Sus scrofa: one gene and its partner. The protein of the gene in region 1 interacts with the protein of each later gene in a pairwise test. Links are inferred from orthologs where the notes say so. Each region holds a gene or a part of one and is shown on either strand. Other genes may lie near its edges.

The links.
Region 2: the proteins of LMO1 (region 1) and PTPN3 interact in binary tests that used the Homo sapiens proteins (3 or more experiments, as listed by UniProt). The two-hybrid records come from large-scale screens. The link is inferred for Sus scrofa from reciprocal best matches to the Homo sapiens genes LMO1 and PTPN3.

The regions. Positions count from the first base shown.
Region 1 is NC_010451.4:1,076,644-1,081,074, reverse strand, and holds part of LMO1 (rhombotin-1), read right to left. Parts: intron 3,469-4,431; coding exon 3,255-3,468; intron 931-3,254; coding exon 805-930; intron 1-804. UniProt on the Homo sapiens protein: May be involved in gene regulation within neural lineage cells potentially by direct DNA binding or by binding to other transcription factors.
Region 2 is NC_010443.5:250,445,859-250,450,289, reverse strand, and holds part of PTPN3 (tyrosine-protein phosphatase non-receptor type 3), read left to right. Parts: coding exon 1-47; intron 48-3,201; coding exon 3,202-3,362; intron 3,363-4,431.

The DNA of each region.
Region 1 (4,431 bases):
CAGGGTGACAGGCCCAGGCCCAGCCGATCCTCTTTCAACCACCAGGTGGCGCTGCAACTTCACCGAGCCCTCCTGGCGGTGGTCGGGGCAGAGCTTCCTCCAAACCAGCTTAGGTAGGTCCCTCTGGACCTCACCCTCTGGCAACGCTTGCATGAGCTCCTTCCTGACCTGGGGGCTCCTGACAAAAGGGCCTGCCTTCTGGGGCTCAGCCCCAGCCAGGGCTAAAGGGCTCTGGCTCCTCAGATCCCCGGGGCCTCCCACAGGGCTGGGGGCACAGTAAGCTGGGGCCAACACACCAGAGAGGGGGCTGGGCTGGAACAAGAATCACAGGAGCGAAATTCTAAAGGCTATTTCACCCTCCAGGTCCGGGAGCCCCTTCTCACGAGAACACACCTACGTGTATCCATAGGTAGCACACGCAGGGCTCTTGTACACGTACATTCAGAAACACGCGTGCACAGGCAAACTCACCCATCCTGCAGACAGCACACACAGACCCCTTGCACGTGACGTGTAAAAATGCACGCATGGCCACGACACAATGCGCATGGCTCATGCACGGCCCTGTCTGTTACGTCTGTGTGGAGCTGTGCTCTACTCATGGGCACACACGGTACTGGAGTGCACATACCTGGCTACCAGGCCCACGTGTACATAAAATGCACACATGCACATACATGCTCCCGGCAACACGCACACAGAGAACCCATGTTTGCATGCCTGCCTCCGCAGCACAAGAGACCTGGCAGCAGCTGGCAGCGGGGTCTGCTGAGTGCATCGGGCCTGTGGCAGCCCACCACCCACCTCTGGTTGCAGAGCTGGCAGGCGAAGCAGTCGAGGTGGTAGACGTTGTCCCGGGCCCTCATCACCATCTCGAAGGCTGGGATCAACTTGCTGCAGGCGGCACAGTTTCCCGTGGTGCCAAAGAGCCTGCAGAGGGAGGGCGCGGAGAGCTCAGGGGCCTGCGGGGGCTGGCGGGAGGGCAGGGGAGTTGCCTCCAGCCGGGGCCCCACCTGCCCCCAACCCCTGCGGTTCAGTAGGTGGGCCTGGGCGAGAGGGGAGGAAGACAGACGGAAGGGTCTAATCCCGCTAAGAGGTCCGGCTTCAGATCAGCACATCCTCGCAAGGAGGAGGCCTGGGCGGGCCTTGAGTTGACTCGCCCTCCTGTCCTCAGGCTCCCACTAGGGTCCCTCAAGCAAGCTCCCTCGGCGGCTCCCCAAAGAGCCCAGGCTAAGGACTCCAGATTCACACAAGCCTGAATTTAAAGGCAGTCTGCCTATTGTGGGCTGTGTGTCCTCAGGCAAGTCACTGGGTCTCTCTGAGCCTCACTCACTTCAACTATAAAATGGGGACCTAAATACATCCTTCGCAGGCTTGTGAAAACTAAACACTCAGTCACGGCCCTTCTGCAAATGCCCAGACGCTGCCTGCTACGTGCCAGGCACTGCTCTAGGGGCTTCTCACAGACCAAGTCATTGGTCCTTTTTCTGGTACCAGAGGCCTTTTTCTGGTACTATTTCAGGAACTCAGGCTGTGACGTCTCTCCCTTTTCCCTTTTCTTGGACCTCAGTTTATCCTTCTTTAAAGTGGGACTGTTGGACTAGACGATCCCGTTCAAAGATGCTTCTAAAACAGAACAGATGCCAAAAGGACCTTCCAAGGACGACTGGCACCTCCTCGTAGTTGCCAACTGCAAAGTTCCAAGGACAGAGGGCTCCTCCCTCCCCACACAGGCCCGCCCTTGGCTGGATGCGCCAGCGGTCTGCTCCCTTTCTGTACGGTGGCAGAGGAAGCCCCAAGTGAGGCGAGGGCCTTGAGAGGCAGGCGCGAGGCCCCCTAATCCCTGATTTGTCCGGAGCTCAAACGCAGGCACCTGCAGATGAGCTCGGCTCCATTATTCATCAGCCTGAGCTGCCTGGTGGCTCAGATTAAGGCAGACAAAGGCCGGGCCACAGCATCTGCCTGCCAAGAAAGGCCTTTCTTACCACCAGTCCAGTGGCTGCAGAGGGGCAGGCTCTGGACGGCCATTCTCTGGGCTGAGCAGCTCCAGGAAGCCCCAGCCCCACCCCGGCCCACTGCCCTACCTGGCCCCAAGGGCATTCCTTGGCCTCTGCCAGAGCCCAGGAAAATATTTCAGGCTCCAGGAGCTGGCAGGGCCCGGGAGGCTTGTGGGTGCTTGAGCTCTATGGACGGGCCCAGCCTGCATGGCAGTCCTCCCTCTCCAGGTCCTGTGGACTCGTCAGACGGCCTGCCATCCTCCCCTCAACCTGGCAGGTTCAGCCTCCCGGTGAGGTCCTAAACCTTGGACTTGGAGGCCCCTCCCAGGCTGCCGAGGGCAAGTCCCCAGAAGCAGGTGGGTGACCTCTCCCCTGACCTCGGCATCTCTCCTCCAGCGCCGCCAGGAGCCCTGAATCACTCCTCCTGGTTTTCAGCACCATTTAAAATAATAAAACAAACTCCTGCAAAAGGCAGAAGTTTTAAAAGAGAAGGAGCGGGCAGGTAAATCCTGGGGAAAGAGGGGAGCCTGTGTTGCTAACTCCCCCGCCCCCAGTCCTGGGCCAAGGGAGCCCCTGAATCCCTGGGCCCACCTCCTTATTAAGGCAGGGGGCCTCCGCCCCCACCAGGCCCCGCCCCACCCAGCAGCCTGCAGGGAGCCAAATGCAGACGCTGGGTCTCAGCCAAGGCCCCTGCTTTGTGGCCTCCTTCCAGCCTTGCTGATGTCATGCTCGGCCCGAGGGGGTCATGGGTGAGGCGGCCCGGGAAAGGGTCCAGGCTGCGGGGCAGGGGCAGCTGGAGCTCTGAGGAACCGAGGTAGGGTTCAAGTGCTGGCCTTTTCACCAGTCACCAAGGGGTAGACTGAGGCGGGGGCACTAAGAAGCCAAGCTCAGAACTGGTCCCCAGTGTGGTCTCTAAGCCCCAAGGTCAGAGGCTCTTCTGCTCGGGTCTGGCTCCCCGCCGGGCTCCCGGCCAGGGCGGTGGAGGAGTCGGGGCATCTTCAGGCCAGAGGGGTCCGGGAAGTCAGGGCTTCCCACCCCCCTGCTCCTGGAGGCCCCTCCGAGGGGGCCCCTTCCTGGATTCTGGGAAGCGGCAGACTCCTGCCCTGGGAAGCTTCTCCGGTGCCCATGGGCACCGAGGCCCGTCTGGGGTGGGGCGGGCACTGGGCCCGAGGGGCGGGGCCCGGGCTGGAGTGGGCGGAGCCGCACCGCCCTGGGCAGGGGGCGGCACGGAGGGGAGGGGCGGGGGGGGGGGCCCACCTCAGGTAGTCGCGCCGGCACAGGATGAGGTTGGCCTTGGTGTACAGGGTGGAGCCCACCTCGCCCAGGCGGCAGTCGCAGCAGGCGCACTTGAGGCAGTCCTCGTGCCAGTACTTGTCCAGCGCCTTCAGCAGGTAGCGGTCTTTGATCTTGCGGTTGCAGCCCGCGCAGCCCTTCTGCTTCCCTTTGGGCTGGACCGAGAGCATCGGCACGCCTGCGGGGGACAGGCGACAGACAGATGGGCACGGTGGGCCCTGGGGCTCCCCCCTCGGGGCCCATTCTGCGGCCGCCTCCAGGGCAGGGGCTCCCAGGAGCCGCCCTGTCTCCCCAGCAATCACGTTCCCTGGCCCCGGTCCGGCCTCCTCCCCACCCGGTGAGGGGCCCTCCGCAGGGCTGGAGCCCGCGTCTGCTCTGCTGCAGGCAAGCAGCGAGCCCCAAGGCCTGGCCCCCCACGTCCGGCTCTCCATCCAGCCACTGTGCCCTGGGCCCTGTGATCCCCAGCAGGCCCGGGCCTCCCCACGCAGCCACCAGCCCACGGGCTCTTTTCTGCAGCCCTAAAACAGAACCTCATCAGGGGGCTGATGGTCCATTAGGCCTTCCAGATCTTTCTGCCACCTGGAGACGTGCTCCCACTGCTGTGTACTTGACTAGATTAACCCAACACATGAGGCTACAGCCTCTTGGTCTGTTCACACAGAGCCGTGCAGGTGTCAGGAAGAAAGGGAGATGCCCCCCCCGCCCCGATAAACCCCCGGGTGGGCTGGGGCTGGGGCTGGGGCTGGGAGGTGCAGAAGCCCGGTTGCTCCTGCTCCCTACCTGCCCTGGCCTGAGGGAGGGAGGGTTCCCGCCTGCCTCTGCACCCTTGCTTGTCCTGCCAGGATAAGAACCTCAGGCCCAGGTGAGCTTCCCAACAGACAAGAAGGTCGCAAGGTACAAGGGCAGGTATCTCAGTGTGGCCTTGCCTGGAGGGAGGGGCAGAACTCCCACAGGCAAGCGCCCCGTGCCCACGGGAACAGCCTGCAGGCACGGGCACAGGTGTGTGCAGAGGCACAGGCCCCTGGTCCCCCTCCCAGGGCCACGGGGAGGAGCCGCCGAGAAGGAGGTAGGAGCAGATGTCCCGGGGGCCTGGACGTCCCTGTGTGTGTCCTCATGTGAAGACAAGGCTTGGGGGGAAGCA
Region 2 (4,431 bases), on another chromosome or scaffold:
CCGGGAGTCACACACGCGGGAGCTGGTCCTGGTGATCCGGAGGAAAGGTAAGGGCCACCCACGGAGAGGCGCCTTAGCGAAGAGGGCCTTCTCCCGCCCCTTCCGAGGTGTTGAGATGTTGAGCTCGTAGCCAACATCGGACAAGCCAGACCTTTCCCATGACAACCTGCTGGCTGACTTTTCACTTGAAAAATGTGGAGACCTGCCCACCCAACACCCTACCCCTCATGGCCAGTGCTCGGCAAGTAGGCAGCACCCACCCCCTTTTATACAGGGCACGAGCCCCGCGTTCCTCCCAGCCGGACTCAGCCCACATCGTGCACCCCGCTTAGCTGCCTGGCCCCGTCTGCCTTTGCATAATCATCCCCATCTCAGCAGATCAGGTTATATTTTATTCATGTGCATTTGGTTTTGTTGGAGAGACAGTAAGCTGAGTAGGGCAGGAGGCTGACTGCCTTGGGGCTGTTCTAACCCTGCCTCCTACTGGGCCCAGGGACCTTGCCCAGTAGGAGTTTCTTGCCCAGTCTGTCTCCGTTTCCACTAAAGTAAAATGAGGATAACACAGTTGCTGCCTCTGGATTCCTGTGAAGATTCAGTAATACTCATACTGAAAAGCAACAAGGACGCTGCCCCGTACTTGGTGGGCATTTGAAGGGCAGCCTCTGTTGAATACTATTACTGTTGTTGTGGTGGTGGTGGTTGTTATAAAGCAGTTAGCCTTGGATCCTCCTGCCCGGCTTCAAATACTGAAGGTAAATGAAGTATGTGGCTCAAGCCCTGGCCCTGCATCCCTGTTGTGGCCTCACTGCCTTCTCTGTTCCCGGTGATGCTCCCAGTGCCAGCTCTCACCCCACCTCCTCCGTGAGGGCCCCACCTGATCTCTCCAAAACCCTTCCCACCTCGTCTCACCCCATCCCCTCCAAACCCAGCTCCATGCTGGGCACACAGTAGGTATCACTCGTGACAGTGGCTGATGTCTCTGCAGCACCAGCAGAGGGCCTACACCATGTCAATTGCTTTACTAATTATCCCATTCAATTCTTAAAATGTTCTCGTAGGTTAGTGTTATTATCTCTAAATGGGAACAGCAGTCACGGAGAGGTTAAGTTGCCCTGCTGCCATGTGTCTGGTGAGGCCCCATGATAATAGGGACGGAAGGAATCCAGCAGTTGGGAGCAGACCTCTCTATCACATGCAGTGCCCTGTGACCCGCTGGCCAAATCTGGGGTTCTTCCCAGGAGCACCCTGGCCAAGCCAGGGAGGGGGCCCACCACCAGCCCATGGCAAGGGGCCAGTGTCTGTAGCAGAAACTAATGGAGCCCCATTCGACCTTACAGAAGAAGAATCAGAACTTGTATCAGGCTTTAATGTATAATACGCTTTGAGGTGAGAAAAACAGATACTTGTAGACTAGTAGAGCCTAAAGGGAAGTGCATAAAAGGTTTCCTGTAACTGTAATGAAAGTAAGTTCTTTTTTTTTTTTTTTTTTTGTCTTTTTAGGGCCACACCTGCAGCATATGGAAGTTCCCAGGCTAGAGGTCAAATTGGAGCTGAAGCTGCCAGCCTATGCCACAGCCACACCAGATCCAAACCATGTCTGTAACCTACACCATAGCTCACAGAAACGCTGGATCCTTAACCCACTGAGCAAGGCCAGGGATCAAACCCTCATCCTCATGGATGTGAGTCGGGTTTGTTACTCCTGAGCCACGGGATGGGAACTCCAGTGAGTTCATTTTAAAAATAAACATTTAAGTAAAAAATGATTGAAAGAAAAATAAGTAAATAGTAACGGGACGGGGCGGGGGAGCACATATGACAAAACCCACAAAAATAAGTAGAAGAACTGAGCTTCTTTGGTCAGTGAAAAGAATGTGGTCTTTCGGGTCAGCCAGATGTGGACTTAAAACTCTTGCCCTTTGAATCAGTTTCCTCATCTGCAAGATGGGAATAATGACACCTGCTTCAGTACTGTGAGGATTCAGTTCAACTCTGTGGGAAAACCCAAAGTTGTTGCCTCCTTCTTTCCTGTTATCTTGAAGGCAGTAGGGAGCCATTGAAGGCTATTGCGAAAGGGAGTGACTTCTGTTTCTGGGTAGAAAGGGAAAAATTCAGAGATGAGCTCAAAGTCTTCCCTTTAAGAGAGTGGAGAAGGAAGTGACATAGACAGAAAGAAGCATATGAGGCCGGGACGTATTGTGCATGGTGGGGAAGGAAGGGCCCTTGGCCTTTTTTTTTTTTAACCCATATTGAGTCTGCATGAAGGGAGAATTTGTTCCAAAGAGGAAACACAGACTAGAGATGTTTATCTGGGCGGCCTCCCTCCTAACAGTGGCCTGAGTTAGAGACACCACCTGAGCTCTGTGGGACAGTGGCAGTGTGGAGAGAGCACCAGACCCCACACCAGTTTCTGGGAAAATGCCTGTTTTAAAGGAGCAGATAAAAGGGACCCATGGGATTCCCATCGTGGCGCAGCGGAAGCAAGTCCAACTGGGATCCATGAGGTTGCGGGTTTAGTTCATGACCTCGCTCAGTGGGTTAAGGATCCGGCATTGCCATGAGCTGTGGTGTAGGCCGAAGACACGGTTCGGGAAGAACAGGGGTAGAAGAATAACCAGCTCAGAGACAGTAACAGGAGAAGATCTCTGTTCTTTTTTTTTTTTTTGGCTTTTTAGGGCCGCACCCATAGGGCATATGGAAGTTCTCAGGCTAGGGGTTGAATCGGACCCACAGCTGCCGGCCATAGCCACAGCAACTCGGGATCCGAGCCATGTCTGCGACCTGCACCACAGCTCACAGCAACACCGGATCCTTAACCCACTGAGCAGGGCCAGAAATTGAACCCTTATCTTTATGGATACTAGTCACATTTGTTTCTGCTGCACCACAACAGGAACTCTGATCTCTGTTCTTTAAAAACAGTCATTCCCTTTCTCATACCTTTGGCAAAAGCCTCTGAGTACTAAACACCATCATTTAAAACTAACCAGAAAGATTAGTATGTCATTTTGTATAATTAGCACATATTGAATCATTCAACAAGAAGTGTCGTTGGTGAAAATGATTACCATGTGCTTAATCATTTAATAAGATGTTTTAAACCATCTGCATTCAGGTGTCATAAGTGTAATTGGGGGGAGGAAACCGATCCCCCAGCGTGTGGCTGCACAGGCCCGACACGTTCCTTCTCGTCCACTGCAGCGGTCCACTCATTTGCTGATATCAAATCTGAAGACGAACTGAACCAGCTCTTCCCAGAGGCCATTTTCCCCATGTGTCCGGAGGGTGGGGACACGCTGGAGGGATCCATGGAACAGCTAAAGAAGGGCCTCGAAAGCGGGACGGTGCTGATCCAGTTTGAGGTAAGAGACCTCAGGGCTGACCCCCCAGTGCCTCTGTGGGCTGCCGGCTGCTGCCGGATCATTCAACTCACCAGCTGGCCGTGCTCATCCAGGGACCATGGAGGGGCTCGGGGCCTCAGAGAAGGCGGGGGCTGGCGACCACGGCCCGCCCCTGAACTCTGTCTCACCTGCCTGTTCTAGTAACGATCAGTAGTCATGGAGAAGCATGTCAGAAATCAAGGAGGCGGGACTCTGAGCATATTTTGCTGCCAACGCAAAGGCTCGAAGCACTCAGCAGTCAAAAGTAGTGGAGAGGCAGCGTGGGTGAGGCAGAAGGGCTGATGGAGGAGCCGGGTCCTGACCCCACCAGGCACACTTTGCAATTGCGACCACTTAGTATCCGTATCATCCCATGAGGGCACAGGGGCTCGGCTTCCCAAGTGCCCCAGAGAATCAGAACACAAGCAGAAACCAAGGTCAGGCCCCGTCTCCCTTCCCCAGGAGGGACCTCCAATCACAGCATTGAGACTGTTGACAACAGCACCCAGAGACTTTACAAAACAAGGTAGGACCCGAGGAGACTTGATTTTCGAGTCAGTTTTACTGACCCCTAACAGAATGAAAATAGATTGTGTTTATCGTCTACATTTCTTAAAGGTGGTAGAAAACAGAGTAGTTCAAGCAGTAAAGATAAGAGAAGAAGCATCAAGTAGGCCGATTAAAGAAAATGAATCATGATTAATGACAGCTTACACAGTCTGGATTCATAAATTAGGAAGGAGAGTCTCAGATAGAATGCAAAGGCAGACATCTGCATTGCATCATTAGAAAGCCATGTAAAGGAAAAAAATCAGAAGCAAAGCTAGGAAATTTGTCAAATACATGTGACTGCGTTTTGATTCAGGAATGGATGAGTAATGTGACTATTAAAAAGAAAGATGCAGGGGGTCTTCAGTGATGGAAGGGTTCATTTGTGATGGTGTAAGGAATAGAGGGTAAAAATACATTAGTAGAGTAATGTGCGTTAAATAATAGAAAGTAAAACCAACAAGTGAATTCAAGGTGAAAGTAACGGACCCCACCCAAAAAA